Linked DNA regions of Caenorhabditis elegans. The protein of the gene in region 1 interacts with the protein of each later gene in a pairwise test. Each region holds a gene or a part of one and is shown on either strand. Other genes may lie near its edges. The genes, in order: hlh-26, mab-3, dmd-8 and zip-7.

Region 1 (3,336 bases):
AAATGGTTTTTATATTTTCAATTCAAAGAAATTGAACACGTGTTCCAAGTGTTTATTTTTAATAGTTGTGCTGACATTTTTTGAATTTTCTTTCACAGTTTCTTTATTTTTCAGGGTTCGTAAACCAAGTTGCCGGTTGCCGAACTTTTTTCGGCACTTTGGCAACTGTCCATATCAACGTCAAACATTTTGTAACTCAAAAAAAAACATGCAGAGAGCCTGAAAAAGCTAGAATTTCACTGTAAACGAAAAAAACGACCATACATTTTTCCAAAACGCTCAAAAATTTAATTTCGACAAAAAAAACTTTGAAACCTGGTTGCCGAAAAGTTTCCGAAGTTCCGGCAACCGGAAGTTGCTGGCTGCCGAAGTTTTCAGCGTTCGGCAACTTTGGCAATTGCCGGTTGCCGAAATTTCTTTAAATCTCGGTTGCCGCACAGTCCTGGTAAGAACGCAATTCAGTTCTATAATTTTTCTCCAATTGCTACGCATCTGTTCAAATTATCATGCACACTGTGCTGAAAATCTCAATATTGCTGTGTGTTAAACTTGAATTTATTATCTTGATGTTACTTTTTTAAATTTATTAATTTTCAATGAATCGGGATGCAAAAGATGTCTAAATAATGTTGAAAACTGTTGAAAAAAATTGGAGACCAATACGATTTTCAGCTGAATCTCTTCAGCCAACAATATCGATATCTTTCTCATTTTCTTCTATTTCCAGAGCGTCAATTTCGAAGCTGGAACTTGGGACAATAGGAATCTGAACTGTAGGCATGTGAGGAGGATAAAGTGAAAATTGATTGTATGAATTGAAAACTAATGGCGAATAAACTGGGAATACTGGGAGAAAAGGAAGTATTGGAAATGGTAGGCAAGGTACTGTACATGTGATCGACTTTCCACGAATCACTTCAAAGATGATTTCTAGAACCTTCAAATTCTCCATTTTGTCTCTGAAAAATACGTGTTTTTTAATTTATGGCCAATAAAATCTAAAACCTACATTTCTTCTGAGCTACTCAAATTATTCAATGCAATAAATTTTCTGAGCTCTCTGTACGCGGCAACTCTCTTATTTCGGCGAACTTGTTCCCGATCGCTTTTAATCTTTTTAATACTTCTAATTGGTCCAGGCGATGTTGAAAACGATTCGTGATGAAGTTGAATACCAGATAACAATTTCACAATACGAAATAGAACCTCTTCTTTTCTGAATAGACATTAGTTGAGAGTACGTTTTTTTTTTTTAAATAAAATAGTAGAAAACTTACGAAAGTTTTTCAGATTCCGATTTTTGAACGATTTTCTTGAATTCATTCAACAGATCATTAGTATCATCTCTTCTTTGTTTTTCTGTTTCAGATCGATGTCCATGTGAAGAAGGGGACCCAGATGATGACGAAGTTGGAGAGGAAGACATTATGAGTCAAGGATCTGAAATATAATAATAATAGTTAACAAAAGATTATTAGACAAAAACCGTAATAGGGAGACTACAAAATATGAAAGGCAGTTCAAATTAAAGACTTATGAAAACGTTGAAAAGAACCAACCTTACAGTTCAAGTATGCAAAAACATAATGACTACCTTCCATTATATGTTCGAGTTTTTTCTTCAATAGGCGGGGATTCTCATCGTTTGGAATATCATGGGAATCTGATATCCATACCTTTATTACGCGTGGTTCTCATGGTGCATCGAGTACCACATCTCCAGTTCTTGCCGTGGCAGCCTGAGAACCCAAGCAATGCGAAGGGTCACAACCTGAACGAAGTTATTGATTGGTGGGAAAAAATAATCCTGAAATGAATATTTGGTAAAATCGGAGCTCGATGGAATTTAAAAATGTAAATATATAATACAAAAGAAGAATTTAGAATATTTAAAATAAAAATGCATATTAATTAACTCAAATAATCAAATACATGAATTAGGTTATAGTATTTTTCCTTTACATGATAGTTTAAAATATTTATATCAAGCTGTTCTAGAAATGTTTTAAAAAACAATATCCAAGTTTAAAAAAATCTCAATTTATTTTTAATTTACGAGGTTTCCATCTCAGCGTGTGACACTTTTCTTATAACTTGGCACCTACATGTATCCGGTGTGAATTTTTTCTGTTGCTGTGTGAGCATTTCCAGCAAACCGGAGTTCTCAAAATCAGTAAGGTTATATGTTAAAATTAAACTGGCTTATTATTTTCAGAAAATGAAAAACTGCCATATTTGAGTGATAAACTGAATGAATCCGTAAAATTTGGTAGTTGTATGTTCTATGCATTATCATATACATCAATCTGGTAATTTTTATTAGAATCAGATCTTGAATATTGGAAACTTTGCGAATTAAAGACAAATAATGATTAGGCAAGCTGATTAAATGAGTGATAAAAATGGTTAATGTCAATTCACAGTCTCCGCCGAAATTTCCCAGGCTGTACCCAATCAATATCCAGTCGTGGCAAAACTGGAGATGTCCTGACTCGTTCTCATGAGAACCTCACTGATGAACCATGGGAACCCGTGATGGGGACTGTAAAAATAGAGATTTCAGAATAATTCCCATGGCTCCAAACGCTTGATACAAAGCTCCACCCTCTGAACAATAATGGAACTATAAAAGGTAACCATTTATTCATTGTTCATTTACTTTCTTAGTGGATCACTGGTCTGCTGGTTTAGTATACTTTTTGATAATTGTAACATCAGGAAAGTGTACTGATTTTGATCAATTACTTTTAAAGCATTCAGTGAACTGTATACTTCTAGAAAAACAGTACGAGTTATCTCACTAAACTAAATCAATTTGTGCTGCTTTCTTGGTCCCATTTATCTGTTTTGTCACAATTATTCCTTTTTAACGGCTCATCTTGAATTTTTATAAATTCTACATTTCTTATTGATTTTAAATTAATGAAAATTATTAAATTTCAGATGCCAAAAGTTATTCAGTCTTCAATGAGCGATTATCGTTCCGTCCCATACAATCAAACTCCAAAATCAGCTTCTGAACGGAAAAGAAGAAATATTACAAACGAGTTGATTAACGAATGCAAGACGATTGTTCAAAAATCAGAAGAAGAACATATATCGTAAGTTTAAATACTCTGTTAGCTTAAAATAGTTATTAAACTAATTCATTTTTTAGACAAGAAGTAGTTCTCTTCCGAATTGTGAAACTTGTGACTGGAGTTAATCTGGAATCTAATTTCTCATCGAATGACCTCTCCGAATCTACAAGACGGAAGTTTGATACTGAATCCGAAAGAAGAAAAGTGAAGACTGAACGTGAAAAGATTCGAAGAAAGAAACAAGATGACTGTTATG
Region 2 (7,758 bases), 4.2 Mb from region 1:
AGCAAACCCTCGAAATAGGCTCCACTTACGCAACAAATCGTTCTCTTATTTCGCTTCGATCGACCACCAGTATTTAAAAGATGGGTGGTCTAGATCTCACAGAAACCTGCACTATTTCAACAAGATAAACACGACGGAATGTTCGTTCACTCTCACACTTCAGCCGTTTTTTTCCTACGAGCGAAACAATCAGCGGGGCGGGTAGTGAGCGAGTTGAGACTGTCTAGACTCGATGTGGTGATCTCTTTGGAGTACAGAGAATGTTCAGAGTAAATACAGTCCATTCGGCAACATTTGAAAACAAGAATTTAGTCAAAATTTATCAGCAATTCCTTTAGAAAGTTGGTTCTCAAACCTAAAATTTTTTAACGACATTTATAAAGTGGAACTGGAAATATCTTTGGTTCGGGAAAATTTGAGAAATTTAAATTACTGAAACTTTAAAAGTCATATTGAAAATTGTTATCCATTGCAGGTCAATAATTTTTGACTGAAACTTCAAATCTTGGTAATTGAAAAACGGTTTGACTAAATAGTGAGTCACTAGAACTTTGACAGTTGGTAAGACAGTTTTCAACAAAACTATTACTTTTCAAAGTTTTTGGTAGCTTCTCTCGAAAACATTCCTAATATATTTTCAGGTCCAAATCAACCTTTACCAAAAATGTTTCCTCTGTAATTTTCTTGTCAATCCCACTTTGTTTCTACCGCTTCTTCTCCTTTCCATTTCGAGGACACAGTCGAGATCAAATGTGTGCGTTGAAACTGCCAATTTTCATTCTCTCTCTGCTAACTGAACACAAGACCTGAAGGTGCTCATTAGGCGAAATTGAGAAATATTGGATTACTGTAGGCTTAGATATGTAATCAATCTGAAACTGGTGACGCGGGTGTTCAGAAAAAAAATTGTGGTTGGGTTGGGGGGTTAAGATTCAAATGAAGAAATGAAAAAAGCTAGTAAAAGCTGAAAGAAAGTACTTAGCTTATGAATATTAATTAGGTCACATGGGAGCAGTTATGAATTTCCAGTCCTAATTTTTTCTACAGCCCGGTGCCGGGATCTTGGCCCTATGGACTGAAAAAAAGCTCAAGAATTGTATTTTTCCTCGAAAAAAAAATATAATTAAGCTTTCTATATAGGCTCCAAGGTTCCAACTTGTGGATCCATAATTCTAGACATAGTTTCAATTTCCTTTAAAGCAAGGTAGGTCACATTCCAGGAATGTTTAATAGTTTTCTAAAATACAGAAAAGTCTAGAAAAGCCTACCCAACGAATGATAATAAAAGTTCGAACAAAACCTATAAAAATTGAGTTACAGGAAATAAAATAAAAAACTAAAAGTTTGCAATTTTCTCTCGTCTCTTCTCTTTCCATGATCACACGTACTTACAGGTGTCCCCAAAAAACGCAGAGATCACACGATTCGCGGAGTGTCAGCCAGAGAAAAAATATGTCGTCGCGAGAACTGATAGCGGTGTCCCCCTCCACCGCCATAGTCTCGGGGCGCCGCTCCCTCCCGATATATGTTTGTCTGGCGTCTCTTACCAGGTTTTCTCACGTTCGGCGTTCTCTAATTATCGTCGTGTGAGGTCTTCTATCCAATCGCGGGTGGCATCAGTCGCCAAAAAAGAGGCGGCGCTTCGTCGCCGCGACTCTTTCTTGCTGGGACCCGCCCCGTTTCACAGGAGGGGAGTGCCTATTACTCCCTCTTTTCCTTTTCTTTTCGATATTTGAATGCTATCGGTGCTCTAGGAGCTCGATCTTGACCCCTTGTTGGAGGAAATTGTACTTTTGGGTAGGTGCTTCCAGTCGATTCAGAATAATTTTTTGGGGTTTTTGAAAACAGTAAAATTATGTGAAAATGTTTCCATCTTTGCGTCTACAATTTGTGGCTGACTTTCCTAACAGTCTACTCTTTGAAATTTTTGAGAAAATGGCTTAACAAAAACTTGAACATTTGATCTGATGTACATTGTAGAAATACTGTAGCTCCTGACTTGTCTGTTTGTCTTGGTTTTAGTCTCTACAAAAAATTATTTCTTGATAAAAACCTCTAATTGATTAAAAATTGAACCTTTTGTAACACGATCAAATGTTGCCAGTTGCAATTAATCGATTTTTGTGATTTTATAAAGTTTGCAGTTAGGTTTGAAAAACTTCAAACGTATTTTATTTAGAAATTTATTTGCTCTTTTTTTCCTTCAAGTCAAATAAGCAATACGGTTCTGTAAATTAATAAAACTTTGTTGCCATTAAATATTGAAATTCCATGTATATCCGTTCTGAAAAATTCTTTATAAGAAAAAATTTCAAACTGGTTTTTAACATTTTTAACTATTGCAGGTTTAAAAACATACAGTAGCCCAACTTTATTCCACATTTAAAGTCACAGAATGAGCCCAACGTTGAATTGAACATTTAGATTATAAAAACGTATTTTATATATGTTTGAGCTATCTGTAATTTTTGAAGAAAAAAAAACTGGTTTCAAAGCTCTCTAAATTTTCTGTTTTAAATTCTCAAAATTCTTAACATTATAGGAAAAGAAAATTTTTTTACTTTACTTTGAAAATTTTTTTAATCCGAAAGATATACACTGGAAACTAGAAAAGATACAGTATTACAAAAAAAATTCGCATTACCAGCTGCTCCTTTAAAAAATTGAAAATTTGTTCCGATGCAAAGAACAATATTTTTGGCGAAAAAATGTTCTTTCTCACAAAAATCAGTCTTGAAAATTTGACTTTTCCACGACATTTTCAAAATTTCGTAATTATTTTATAAGTCAAGATTAGAGTATAGCAGTTTCATATAATGCTTATAGATCCCTCTTTTTAATTCCCTAATTAAAAATAAAAATTTCAACAAAAACAACTAAATTCATAATCTGAAAAAATTTTGCAGAGGAGCTCTAATGCTCACCGAGGATCCCGTATCGGAGATTTGTGAGGCGAAAGCAGTCGATGAGCTCGCCGAGCAAGAAAAAAATTATTATTGTCAGAGATGTTTAAATCATGGGGAGTTGAAGCCAAGGAAAGGTCACAAGCCGGATTGTAGGTGAGCAATGGTTTTTTTTGCATTTTTAAACTACATTTCATCTGAAAACTATTTTGTCATTCCATGTTTCTCCCTCATTCACCCTTAATTATATACATCACGTTTTAATGCTTAAACTCTTGAATTTTTTGATAATTTTGGGTCTTGCAACGATAAAAAGTTAACAACTGTTTAATGAACTTTTTGTAACTTTTGTTGTGCCGAAAAAGTATGTAGTTTATCCATAAATACTCCAAATTCCAAATTTTATCTCAAAATTGTCGCGTCACCGACCTTATTCACCCACCATCAGTTTTTTTTTTCGCGAAGCCCTCCGACAAAGACACCCGTAAAATTTGAGATGTTCGTCTACCGATTACGATCGGGCAAGAAAAGACGCAAAGCAAGAAAAAACAGCTGACCTTGTCGATTTAAAGCGAAAAATACCACCCATACAGGTGAAATTGTTATTATATGAGTGAGGGGGGTCAAAAACGAATTATTATATGGACGCGAAAAACGGAGGAGAAGAATGGGAAAATGCAAAGAGGCAAAAAGTTATGTTTTATACATTAACCTAAACCATTTTGAAGGTGGTCTAGGGATACTGTAGATGTTTCACCAAGGTGAAAGATGACTCAAAAAGATCTTGCAATGACGACAATTATCACTAAGCTAAATTGAAGATGGATTAGCGAAATCTGGGAAACATTTTAAAATGACTACAAGAGTTTTTTGAATACCTATGTGAAATTTTTTTAATTCCCTGATTTCGCTACTACACATTTAATAATATGTATATCAAGGTGTGTTACTCTTTTTAGGTTTTTTTAAACGCTCGTTTAAAGAATTTGTACTTCTCTGGTTTAAATATCCAAAACTCGCCCGAAACGACCGAATTTCATTATTAGGCTTTACAAAAATAATATCTATCCGGTTAAAAATTAAAAAAAAAACTAGTGAAATTCTGCCAGCTTCTTCTTCGGTCGATCATTTTTTCCAATGTTTAGATAAATTCAAAAAAGCGCTTCTTTTTTTTCGAGATATGTTTGGGAAGTTACATCATGAATTTTGGTTGTTTGGGATCAGTTTGAGACAATTCAAGCAACTAAAAATTTTTCAGCCTTTTTTATTATTTTTTTTGGAACCGAAAATTATTAAAAAATTATGTTTGCTTTTCATTCAAAAATCTTCATTCATTTTTTGACATCCAATCACACAGATACACTCACTTTTCAAACAAACCATTCCACAATGACCTATACAGTCGTAAAATTCCTCACCCAATTTTTTTTTTCTCCCAATTTTTTCAGTTCATATAATTTTTAACAAAAGATAGGGCCTATCTCTATTGTGAAAAGTCTAATAAAATATTTGAATGGGTGGGCGGGTTACTGTACAACTACAAAATTCTCCCGTCGATGACACCAAGTGGCACTGAAAAATAAACAAGACGAACATTTTACAGATATCTAAAATGTCCATGTCGAGAATGCACGATGGTCGAGCAGCGAAGACAGTTGAACAATTTGCTAAGCAAAAAGAAGGTGAGTATTCTATAGGGATTCTATGGTAGGTGTGGCTGTAGGTGGCTGTGCCTTACCTCATTCCTGTCTGCCTACATTTCTGTTTCGCGGTGTAGGCGGTCTTGAAGGTTGTATGTGCGTTCTCACGCACTTAAATACCACATCTTATCAGTTCACCAAAAAATCGCAACTTCAGATCAAATCTGACATTTTCAAAATGAAAAGTGGGTTGACGTCTTGGCTTTTTTCTCTTTTTGTAAGAAAAACAATTGAAGATACGAATAGATAGAGTGTGAAAAGCAAAGAAAAAGTGAGAAAAAGATTGATTTTATCGGATTTTTTTAAGGGTAGGTATATTTTTCATGAAGTTGTTCTTTTTCAAAAGGGGCTCTTGTTGTGGCAAGTCACATATAGGTCATTGCCTGGCCATCTATAGGCGTACCTACCTTATTGTTTTATTTCAGTTATTTGTTGAAAGTGTATTTTTAAATGAGAAAAATGCTCACTTTGGACCATGGGTATGCGTGTAGGTATGAGGCAATTGTAGGCTGCATTGACTGCAAGCATTCTTGAGCCTACTGAAAGTTTATACCGAATTTCTTGGTTATTGTTTTTGTGATTGCATTAACTCCTATAATATTACTGTGAAAATAAAACACTTTTTAGCGGGACCCCTTATAAACCTTTCCAAATTTCCAGATCCACTGCACACCGGCAACTCAAACCCGTGATGGGAAGCGTGTCCGTGACCCACACTGTGCTCGGTGCTCGGCTCACGGAGTCCTAGTCCCATTGCGGGGACACAAGCGGACAATGTGCCAATTTGTGACATGCGAGTGTACATTGGTAAGTGTAATTATACTGTCATCATCGGCAGTCAGGCGCCCTTGACAACATTGCAGTTTTTATGCTTTTCAATGTCACCTGCGCGAAGAAATTATAGGATTATAAAAGTACTGTAGGGAAATGGGGGAGTGGCTTGCCAATGAGATTTGAGAATGTGACTTTTTGAAACATTTTGATAAGTTTCAACTATTTCGAAGTATTTTTAATGCAACAGTGCTACGAATTGACTTTTTAAAAATTGTTGTGGAGCAGGCAACTTGGAGCATGCTCTTGGACTGACAGAGAAAGTTGCCACATTAATTTGTGTGAGATTTTTGAAAACGCGTAAACAGAACTACGATTTTCGAGTTTAAAAATATTATTTTTCAGTGTACTCTTGTGGAACACCGTCGAAATCTTATGGCGGCTCAAATCAAATTACGCAGATCACAACAGAAATCCCGAGATGGTAAAGAACCAAAAAGGAACTCTCGTAGAAAATCGAAAGATATGGATATGGAGATGATGGTTGTCACAGCTACAGATGGTCAAAAGATAATTGGTAAGCTATGGGATTTTGTAGAAGTGTGTAAATTGAGCTTTAAGTCAGAATCACAAAAATTGGAGTCTAAACCTGAAATCCAGTCGGAAGTAATTCTAGAGTTGACGGTACGTATTAACGTTATCAGAAACATAGATTTTACCATCAACTCATAGATTATATAAAATGGCTACTTGTTATTTCCAATTTTTCGTACCGAAACAATCAAATACGGGAATATCCAAACGCATCAATAAACAATTACGAAAGTTAAGAGGTTAATTTCAAATATGTCTAGAATCTCAAATTGGTACAACTTCTCAGTTATAGAATATGTCTTTCTGCTTACCTATCAGGCGGGCCCTGCCCTGAAAGTTACTTTGCCTTAAAGATAATTACCACTTAAGCCAATGTATTTTCAAAATTCAGGGGAAGACAAAAAAGTGGTAATTTTGATGCAAATATCAACGCAGACAGTTAAAATTTATATTGTAGCTTCAAAGAAATTAAATCTATAATATTCCAGGAACATCAGCAAGTCCATCTCCATCCTCAACCACTGATACAATGTCCCCATCCCTTTCAATGTCTCCACCATGCTCTCCATCTCCACTTCTGGCTCAATACACTCTGACGCTGGCTGCTCCGATTCCAATCTATCCGCCGATCCCAATGAATCAACAATTGATAAGCTTGCAACAACAACAGTTCCTGATGAGCATTATTCAAAATATGGCTCCATCAATCGGACAACAGGCTCCACTCCTTCCAGGCATTTCTGCAGGTTCTGTCTCATCGGCAGCAATTTTGAATGAGTTCTGGAGTATGTATCTGAAAAATTATGGTCTGCAAGCCTAAGATCTATAATTTTGACCAATTATTGATTTTTAGAAAAATTGTATGTTTCCCTTCTTTGCTTAATTTTCCACACAATCTCTTTTTATCTTTGGTTTCAAACTCAATGATTTTTTCATATTTTCTTGAATTTTCACTTTTTACCAATTTTGTTATATTTTCTAATTTTTTCATTCATTTTTCACCAAGTGAACCAACCAATTTACCGATTTTTTTCTCGTCTTCAAGACCGCTTGTGTTATTCCAAAAATCCCCATTTTTTTTAAATTCAAATAATCTTTTCGTCTCTCACCAAACCACATACTATCTTTCTATGTCTCTTCGCCACCTAATCATGTCATCAATTTCTTCGAAAATTCCCAAATTTCACCGATATTCTTCCGTTTGCATCGATTTCCCACTGTCCCCGCCCAAATTGAGCTGAGCTCCGCCCACACTTTCCCAGGATTACTGTATTGTTTCTCGCTCTGCGTCTCTCATTCTCGTTCCCTCTCTCTTTGTTTTATCTCGGAAAATAGGATCAAATCCTAAACAGTTAACCGGTCCGTTTTAGACACCCCCGGTGGTAATAATTTTGAAAAAAAGTGAAATCATGTTTTTTAATGTTTTGGTTTTAAAAAACCAAACATTTTTTGGAGAGAAAAATGTATAGAACTTCCAAACATACAAACACACGACGCATCGAGTCTAATAATTATTGATTTATTTTTATTATTTTTGATTTTTCAATAAACTTTTCATTTTTAAATCGTCTTGGTTCTGTATGCAAACTTGATCGTACAGCAATTTCCAGAAAAAAAGTTGGCGGCCGAGCTTTCTCTTCCGCGGCCATGTAGAAACCCATAGACAAGGTCTTAGCACGAATGAAACTTTTCCGTTACCGTACCATAGGGTATTTCCCAATTTCTCCTGTTTCAGAAAACATATTTTTTTTAAATTTAAACTTTCGTTGCTTCTGAGTTTTTAAAAAGTT
Region 3 (4,158 bases), on another chromosome or scaffold:
TTAATTTTTTCCAAGAATTTTTCTTATGGGTTGATTTTTTTCAGGCTTTCTACCTACCTCCAAGAAATCTTGTTGCATTCTATGTTTTCCTATTACCCCTATTCCACGTGACAAAATATAGATTTCCCCGGTGGGAGCAAGAATTCTTCAAAGATTACGGTAGAGCGTCTAGACGGTGGCAAAAAAACAAAACTTGTCGATCAGAAATGAGCATTTCCCAAATGAGCATAAACTAGTATAAAACAACTAGTTCCTACATGTTTTAGTATAGTTTTTTTAAACATTTTTTTTACTGGAAAAAATGTTTTTTTTGTGCAGCCGACAGTGATCGAGGACGGTACAGAATTTTTTTTTAACCTTGCGTGTAAAATTTGGTGCATTGGAGTCGGTGAACGAGGCTTTCGGGCTTGCTTGCCAGGCTCCTTTTCAAATTTAGATCGAATTTCATTGTTTAGAAAAAACATTTTAAAAAATTATTCCATTATTTAGAAAAAGAAAAAAAATCATTCAAAACAAAAAAAGCATGATAAAGGCAATCACAGAAATGGATTTAAATCGCCTAATAATTCAAACACAAGGGCTAAGCAATGCGAGAAAAAGATTAGCAATCGTCAAAATCCGCTACAGATTTTCTTATATTTTCCACACAAAATTTGAAACCACTCTGAGCGATTGATTTTCGACACAATTTGTCATCCGATTTGTTGAAACTTCTGAAAATCTTTTTAGTTTTAGTGTTTTTTTGTGGTTGTTATGAAACATTTTGCAATGATTTTCAGCTTGCTCAACTTTGAATTTTCCAAGGTTTCGTAGGCGTAGACCATAGGCGTAGGCCATTAGCCATAAGTGTAGGTCATAGGCGTAGGCAGTAGGCGTGGGTCATAGGCGTAGGCAGTAGGCGTAGGCCATAGGCGTTGGCCATAGGTGGAGGTCATAGGCATATGTCATAGGCGTCGGCCAGCAAGTTTTTCAAGTTTTAAAAAATTCGAGTGTTTTCAAAACGAGATGAGCACCACCTTTTTGTGAACAAAATGAAATAAATCGGCTTTTAGTCCAACTGCTCAGTTGCTCCATACTGATCCGCGTAAAACCCCGACCGGATTGCCCCTCCTTATCTACGCAAACTGCGAATCTACGTAATTTCCCCCATCGACATGAGAATTCCGTCATAGCTCCGCAGAGCCAAAATAGAATGTTTACGGCGAATTTTCTCGAATGAGTGGGGAGGGATGGCGGAGACGTTAGACATGGTTAGACAGCAATCAGGGATATTCAAGAAAGAGGCGGAGCCGGCAGATACAGAAAATCTTTCATTCCTGGATTGAAGATGGGAAAGGCGGATGAAATTTTATTTATTTATTTCGATTCCATTTCATTTGTGAATTCATTTCGATAGCTTTTTTGCTCCAAGGGGAGCTAGGTTACTGTAGATAAGGGAAATTTTTGGTGGCCGAAGAAAACTAGAAAAACTTCGGTCACGCGCCCAAGCCTCTACAACTTCCTGTTTTGCTTATGCTTTCCCTGAAAATTTCTCTGAAAGCATCGTCTATATAGCCCCCAGGGCCTTATCAGGCGACTAGTAAAACATGTCACAAGATTTTTTTTCAGACAAGTGACTGAAAGTACTGTAAATATTCCATTGACGCAGTGTCTATAAAATTTCAGCCAATCAGGTCATCAAGCTCAAGCATCCCTTATCTTGTAGCCCTCACAATTTCATTTTGTGCTTCAACTTTTCCAACTCTTGAAAAATGGAAAATTTCAGACTTACCTGATCATGTCCTCATCTTCCCTGTCATCTTCTTCAAATGCCTCATCGCTCAGTGCTCCAGAAGGGCTTTCACCAAACAACAGCCTCTCCCCGGATGTTGGAGCACAGAGATTTTTCAGCCAAGGGAAAAGGATCCCGAAAGGTGAGCTATAGCTTCTTAGCAGCCGACAGTTAATTGGTTTCACGAGAAAGGGTCAGTAGAAAAATGTATGGTTGGTTAACTGTCGGCTGCTGATTTTTTTTCAGAAATTAGTATGGCCTACGCCTAACATAGTTTTATTTTTTGTTAAATTTTCAGATGTGAAACGGCACTGTGGAATGTGCAAGCAGCATGGAGTTTTCGTAGAGACGCGCGGGCACACCTGCGAATATAGAAGTTGCGAGTGTGAGCAGTGTGACTTGGTCCGTAAGCGACGGGAGATCATGTCAACTCAGATTCGTCTCCGACGAGAGCAAGACAAGAAGTTCCAGGTACCTTGTGATTTTTTTCCTAATTTTCCTAACTATCCCCGTGTTTCAGCGTACCAATGATATCAGCGAGGCCAACGTGTTCCCAGGCTTCACAGGTGGGGAGGCAGATGAAAAAGCTGTCATGGAGAACATGAACATGTGCTATTTCTGCCAAAAATGCAAGAATCACAATGTGCTCGTCTGGAAGAAAAATCACAAAAAGGAGTGCCAATATTCCAGCTGCGAATGCCAACAGTGTAACTTGATTGATTCCCGTCGTGCCCTGGACCGGCATATTAAGAAGCGAAAAATGAGCATAAAGGGCAACACGGTTGAAGCTATCGCACCGAAAAGTCCCAAAAAAGAGGGCTCCACCACGGCTTCATCATCGTCACTCTCATCTTCTTCGGGCTGCAATTCGGACGAGTCGGCTTCATCCTCGGATTGCTCGCTATCTGGAATGCTATCAGAGAAGTTGAACATGGCTCCGCAGGTTCAGATGAAATTCGACTTCAGTGCCGGGGGATTTATGATTCCTGCAGCGACTTCGGCAAATGCAAGCACTAGTCCGGCTGGTTCTCCATTTGAGGTGAGGTTCAGATTTTCTGAAAATTTTTTCAGGTACAGCTTGAACCTGAAAAGGCATGTGGGCATGTAGGCATGTAGGCATGTAGGCATGTATGTATGTAAACCTGTAGGCATGTAGGCATGTAGGCATGTAGGCATGTAGGCATGTAGGCATGTAGGCATGTAGGCATGTAGGTATGTAGGCATGTAGGCATGCACTAGTCTCGTCCTAAAAACTGCTCTAAAAGGTTTTTTCCAGAATTTCTAAAATTTCTAAATTAAATTTTTTTCAGACAACATCTCCAATGCCGCTTCTCCTTCCGCATTCACCAATTGCTCTTCCACAACTTGCTCCATCAAGCCTACCGCTTTCATTTCTTACCGTACCCTCTCTCATGTCCACCGCGGCCTCACCATTTTTCACGGCTCCGCTTATGTACGGAGCTGCTCCAACTCTTTTCCCGAATCCTCTCCTGATGACCCCTATCGGAATGCAAATGTTGTTCCAGAACTTTCAAAATTTTCAGAATATCCGTGAGCTTAGCGCTGCAATTAGCTGCGCTGAAACCGATTGATTTTTCTTTTTAATTTTTCAAAAAAAAAAACAATTTCCAATCTGTGATTTATTGTCTTTTCCCTGTAAAACTCTAGTTCCTTCCCAGTTGCACCTCAAAAAGAGTAAAAACCCCATCGAAATTTTAAGCTGTGCGGGTTTTCAGTTCAAACATGATGATAATAATATTTTGATGTTTTTGTGTTTTATATTTCCAAAAACTTTTTTTTGATTCTGCAAAAGTGATAAATTAATAAAATTGTACTCTTATCAATTTATGACTCGACTAGAAATTGAATTATAAAGTCACGGTTTTTACAGAGAATTTTCCGAATTTTCAGCCACCATATCTGGAATTAAGCTTGGATTTAGAAATTTCACGGCCTTTTTTGCATAAAACGTCAGGAAGCAATCCCATATATTAAAAAAAAACTAAATGTTAAAATTCAAATATATATTTTGTAGAATTTTTTGTAATTTTTTTTCAAATTTTGCTATTCCAAAAATAAGCTTTCCGGCTAAATTGAGCAGTTTCACTTTTTTTGATTTTTTATTTGAGACGTGATCTGTCAAATTTGCATGCATTTTACAGCAAAAAAATTAATGTTAAGTTCAGGCCAGTTTTAGAGTTTCACCCAATTCCTTTCGGCCTGTCAAGTTTCCTTTAATGACAATGGTTGAAAATTTGAAAAAAATGGCCGAAAAATTCATTTACCAGTGAAATCTCACAATCAGATTTTTTTCAATTTTTGAAAAATTTAAAATAAATCTTTAAAAAATTAGAAATTTTGTTTCGGTTAACATGACCTGTTTTTTT
Region 4 (5,248 bases), on another chromosome or scaffold:
TTTTCCACAAATTCGCAGTTGACAACTTTTTCCAAATTTATCCGGAACCAAGATAGACGTATTAGAAGTTGGTAGTGGCCGAGGTTTTTCACCTCCACGGCCACAAGGCCAACACCCCCCAACTCATTATACCCCCGTGGTCCTAATGTGGTAACGCAATAATCTGTGTGTGCGTATGTTCAAGTACACATACCCCAAAAACTTGCGTAATTTCTTTGAATTTACCGCTATTCTGACATACGGAAATTTGAATATTATCGGGGGAAACGCGTGAAAACGTATTGAATGGAAAAAAATGTTGAAAATAATTTTAATTTTTTCGTGAAACTGGGAAATAATTTTCAAAAAAAACGTGTTTTTTTTTCAAAGTCGCCAACTAAAAATCAATAATCGAAAAAATCAGTTTCGAATTTTGTTTAAAAATTCCATTCCACTGAAACGAAGAAGAAGCCAAATGATTGCACAAGTCAGTTTAAGCCTGCCTGCCTGCCTGCCTGCAAAAAATGCTCCGAAATTTACAGCTCGTGCTTCCAATTCTTGTGATTTTCGGATCTCTGGTGATGAATTGTGGCGGAAAGAAGAAGAAGTCAGCAAATTCTCCGGAAGGAACAAATAAATCAAAGTTAGGGGCTCCAAAGGAGAAGAAGGATGAAACTGTGAGTTGTGTGACCGCGACGCGACCGCAACGCGACCGCAACGCATTGTTTAATTAATTTTGCTGATTTGGGATACGTACCACAGGTTTCTGCCTTCCCTCCTATTCTGAAATGTAAGAGTTTTGCCGAACTAGGCCATTTTGGCTCAGTAGATTTACGGGGCGTTGCGTGTCGCGTCGCGGCTCGGATTTGTCCGTGTGAAGTACACGACACTTTCCCACGCGTTGTCCGGCAGGCGATTGTCAATAGAGCGCGAATAATGCAATGAGGAAGGTCCTACTTTTAAAGAAACAATTCTGATTTCAGGAAGGCAACTACGAGGAGCTCGCCGTGCCACAATAATTTTCAGGATTCTCATTTTTCACTTGAATAAACCAGTTTTATTGGGATTTTTGTGTTAATTTTTGAATTTTTGAATTGGTGCCTGTTTCATGTGAAGCATTTAACAAGTGGAATTTACAAGGGAAAATTGTTAGCAAGTTGAAGTACGAGCGTTTTTTACAGAAGAAGTAGTATCTCCTCAGCCATTGTAGCTATCAAAAAGTTGTCAACTGGGAAAATATTTATAAATTTATGTTGAACATTTTTTTAGTTGGCAACTTTTCACTAGCTCCGATACTTTTTCAGTTATGGTAGTTTTTCGCGCAAAACTCCAACTAAAATTACCGATTTTTAAGTTTGAAGGCTTATATCTCCTTAGCTATTGAAGTTATCAAAAAGATTTTAACTATGAAAATATTGCAAAATTGATTTTAAACATTTTGTTGGTTGACAACTTTTTATTAGCTCTTACACTTTTCAAGTTATGCCCAGTTTTCCCCACGGAACTCCAAGACATGCCCACCTATTGCCACCTCGTTATACATTTAGGACCACCACCAATCTCTTTTGCGGTACATTATTCAACTAACAGCAGACGGTAGTTAGTTAGTTAGAGAACAACGACGCAACGATTGCGCCATTACAGTTCAAATCATCATAAAAAGAGCCGCCCGTCTTTAGAGACCCCGTGGGCAAATGGGGGAGGAGGCGGGTCTAGTAGGGCCTGTAGAGGTGTCCTGTTTGCGTGCAGACTTTTTCTCAGCATGCGGTAGCTCATAAGTTCCGGTGTAATAGTTTGGTAACTGTTGAGTAATACGGTTTTGGTTTTGAAAATTTAAAAAAAATTCTGTTTCAAAAAAATTTGTTTTATTATAATTTTTTTCAACTTATTACTGTGTTCTTTGGAAGCTTTTTCCTAAATTTCTAGCCATTTTCCACCAATTCTCCACCAATTTCCAGATTATTTCCAGATGATGACAGACATTCAACAGCAGCTGGCTGCCTCGAGAATGTGTGATTCGGATTCTATAAAGGCATTCAATCAGATGTACGCACAGAATCCGTATGGAGCAGGAGCTTTTGATAAGGTTTGTAATTTTTTTTGGAATTTTTCTGAAATTTGAAAAAGTAAAAAAATTTTTTTACTGTTTCAAAAATGCTTTTTAACAAAAAATTAAATTTTTTTCTTAGAACTACTCCGCAGCCACTGCTCTCCCATTTTTTGCTCAACATTTCGCGCCATACGCGAATCCCCATGCCACGTCATCTTTTTCCCCGTCATCGTCTTCCACGTCATCCACCACGTCGTCTCAAAATCAGCAGAGTGGCAGCAGTGGGAGTAAGAAGAAAAAACCGGTTCCGGTGCCGGAAAATCAAAAGGATGAGGTAAGAGATTAAATGGCCGAGAAATGAGAAAACTCGGCCACCAGAAAAAAACGGCCGATCTGCTAGTGTTAGATGTGGCCGAGAAAAAATGGCGGCCGAGGTTTCCTGGATTCCTTCTGCCACAGGGTTCTGGTTTTCCTCATTGAATGTTTCGCGCTCCATTGACAATCGCCCGCCGGACAACGAGTGGGAGAGTGTCGTGTACTCCACACGGACAAATCCGAGCCGCGACGCGACACGCAATGCGACGTAAATCTATCCCAGATATGGCCGAGCCAAAATGGCCTAGTTCTGCAAACTCTTCCATTTCAATTTATGAGGCCAGAAAACCGTGTTCTGCTATGAAAATTGAACTGTTTTTTTTAATTTCCGCTGGTTTTCAAAGTGGTGGCCGAGTTTTTTCTCTAATTTCACTGCCACGAAGTTGAAAAATTGATTTTTTTAAACTGAAAATAGAGTTTTTTTCTGATTTTTCAGTGAAAAAACGTTATTTTGGACCAATTTTGCTGATTTTTCTCGTATTTTGCATTTAAATCGAGATAAGTTGACAATTTTAATGTAAAATACAAAAAAAATCAGCAAAAAAGATCCAAAATAAAGTTTTTTAGCCGTATTTTTCTTAAAAAGGCGTATGAATTAAAAAGTCGTATGAATTTAAAAAGTCGTATGAATTAATAGCTAGCCACGTGTCGATTTACGGAGGCCGTGTACTCCTCGTGGAGTTGATTTCTCTGGGTTTTCGTTTGAAAAAAGTATTTTTATGCCAATTTTGCTGATTTTTCTTGTATTTAACGTTTGAATCGGCAATTTTTGAGTTAAAAACTATAAATTATGTCATAAAATGACAATTTACCATCAAAATCCAACAAAAATCAGTGAAAATTGGCCAAAATCAAGCTTTTCAGCCGTTTTTTTTTCTTCAAAAAACCAGTGTAAACTCTTCCACGAGGAGTACACGAGCTCCGTAAATCGACAGCTAATAGTCCAAAATCCTCTCGAATAAATCCAATTTTCCAGGCCTATCTCGACCGGCGCCGCCGAAACAACGAAGCCGCCCGTAAATCCAGAGAATCTCGCAAGAAAGTCGATCAGGACAATAGTGTTCGTGTAACATATTTGGAGAGGGTACGTTTTCAAAATTTCCCATAGATAATAATCCTTTGCATCATTTTTTTTGGCGGGTTTTTTTTTCCAAAAAAGGGCTTAATTGATGACGTCATCAGTCAACAGGTGTCAGCCTGGCTACGCAATAACTTTGAGAACGCGCCCACGCCGACTTTTCCCAATTTTTCAATAAATTTCGGGAATATCAGATGGCTTTTTGTAGATAACCGACACTTTTAAAAGTACTTTTTGATAGTTTTGCAAACGCGCTCTAGTGCACACGTACAGTAACGTTTGTTCCCTTAATGGTGTTCCACTTTTCGATATGTTCACCAAGAATGGTGTTGGAAAGATTTGTTGGTTTGGAGCAGTAGGTAGTGGACGCAGTTCGGTGTGAGCACTCGTTGGATCAATTCCAGGGAGTGGCTTTTCTTTTTTGTTTCGTTAAAGTTTAACTTTACTTTTTTTTCGGACTAAAAATAAAGAGTAACTCTGATAAAAGGCTTAGTTCTGACGGCATAAAATTTTTATCAATCAATTAATAATTATTTTTTCTCCAGGAAAATCAATGCTTGCGAGTCTACGTCCAACAGCTCCAACTACAAAACGAATCGATGAGACAACATTTGCTCCTGCAAAATCCGGGCACTATAGACACTATGGACCCGATTGCCATGGCGAATATGCCGAGTTATTAAGCTTCTCCCCTCCCACACAAAATCATCTCATTCTTGCACACACATTCAAATCCTTGCTTCTGTATCGAATTTCCACACACCACCCTCTCATTGCGTCACTTTTTTTTTGTAATTTTCTGTAAAAATATAGCTATTTTTGAAGAAAAATGCATTTTTTCAAAAAAAATAAATGAGCGACTACGGTAAGCAATTCCGAGTCTGCAAACACCGTCACGGCAGAATGCACAGAAAAACTCATTTTCAAATTATTTTTCGCTCAGTTTTCGCTAATTTCTCCGAATTTTCGCGTTTTTTCTTTAATTTTTGTTAGTTTTTGATTGTATTTTGTCGATTTTTCACTCTTCGAAGCTGTACCGACTGTAATTTGACACTTTCCGCACGAAAAAATGAGAAAAATCTCAGAAAATAGGTGTATTCAGATTTTTCCCCATTTTCCTCCGATTTTCTGGGCATTTTCTGGGCATGTTTTTCAAGCTAAATTCGCTGATTTTCGAGCTAAAGCAACTTTAAAATCCAAATTCTCTAATAATAAAACAGTTTTTCAGCTTACTCGACTTTTTCCCGGAAATTTCTGAATTTTGCTCATTTTCCGAGGTATTCGTGGATTTTCCTCCCGCTTTTGACCAGAATTAATGCTGAAATTCAATTTTTCAGCTAATTGTACCCTAAAATTGGACGGAAAAATGATTTTTCCATTATTTTCCCGGCAAAGCATCACCTGAGTGATTTTTACTACTTTTTCGACGGAATATATAACGTTTTCAGTAATTTCTCGTTAAATTTCCCAAAAAACTCGTTCAAAATGCTGGAAAAAGTCGAAAAAACTCGAAATTCCAAGAAAAACCAGTTTTGAATATTTTCCCGGGGGGTACGGTAGATTTCGTCGTGTGCAAACACCGTCACGGCAAATTGCACAGAAAAACTCATTTTCAAATTATTTTTCGCTCGTTTTCTCTGATTTTCTGCATTTTTTCATTTTTTCTATAGCTTTTTCATGATTTTTTCGGGTCTAAACATCTAAAAATCACTAAAATTGCATAATTCCGCCGATTTTTCAGCGCTTAGAATGCATTTTTCAGCAGG

Evidence for each region.
Region 2: the proteins of hlh-26 (region 1) and mab-3 interact in a two-hybrid assay, tested with the Caenorhabditis elegans proteins (one large-scale study listed by BioGRID).
Region 3: the proteins of hlh-26 (region 1) and dmd-8 interact in a two-hybrid assay, tested with the Caenorhabditis elegans proteins (one large-scale study listed by BioGRID).
Region 4: the proteins of hlh-26 (region 1) and zip-7 interact in a two-hybrid assay, tested with the Caenorhabditis elegans proteins (one large-scale study listed by BioGRID).

The regions. Positions count from the first base shown.
Region 1 is NC_003280.10:5,532,297-5,535,632, forward strand, and holds hlh-26 (Helix-loop-helix protein 26), read right to left. Parts: upstream 1,447-3,336; 5' UTR 1,427-1,446; coding exon 1,278-1,426; intron 1,217-1,277; coding exon 1,010-1,216; intron 960-1,009; coding exon 683-959; 3' UTR 543-682; downstream 1-542. Other genes in the region: hlh-25 (Helix-loop-helix protein 25), read left to right, coding at 2,944-3,101, 3,158-3,336. UniProt on the Caenorhabditis elegans protein: As a homodimer binds DNA via the E-box sequence 5'-CACGTG-3'. Represses lag-2 transcription during embryogenesis via Notch signaling, in an unc-37-dependent manner. Also represses tbx-37 independent of Notch signaling.
Region 2 is NC_003280.10:9,730,506-9,738,263, forward strand, and holds mab-3 (Protein male abnormal 3), read left to right. Parts: upstream 1-1,725; 5' UTR 1,726-1,797; intron 1,798-2,906; 5' UTR 2,907-2,916; coding exon 2,917-3,059; intron 3,060-4,505; exon of another isoform or gene 4,506-4,506; coding exon 4,507-4,585; intron 4,586-5,263; coding exon 5,264-5,410; intron 5,411-5,779; coding exon 5,780-5,951; intron 5,952-6,456; coding exon 6,457-6,788; 3' UTR 6,789-7,530; downstream 7,531-7,758. UniProt on the Caenorhabditis elegans protein: Transcription factor which binds the DNA motif 5'-[CGA][TCA][TA]ACAATGT[AT][TGA]C-3', probably as a monomer.
Region 3 is NC_003283.11:334,058-338,215, reverse strand, and holds dmd-8 (DM domain-containing protein), read left to right. Parts: upstream 1-1,765; 5' UTR 1,766-1,777; coding exon 1,778-1,913; intron 1,914-2,069; coding exon 2,070-2,242; intron 2,243-2,291; coding exon 2,292-2,810; intron 2,811-3,081; coding exon 3,082-3,363; 3' UTR 3,364-3,615; downstream 3,616-4,158.
Region 4 is NC_003282.8:16,502,370-16,507,617, reverse strand, and holds zip-7 (BZIP domain-containing protein), read left to right. Parts: upstream 1-1,935; 5' UTR 1,936-1,948; coding exon 1,949-2,065; intron 2,066-2,168; coding exon 2,169-2,363; intron 2,364-3,380; coding exon 3,381-3,488; intron 3,489-4,027; coding exon 4,028-4,165; 3' UTR 4,166-4,708; downstream 4,709-5,248. Other genes in the region: Y51H4A.935 (uncharacterized protein), read left to right, coding at 455-466, 522-656, 963-998.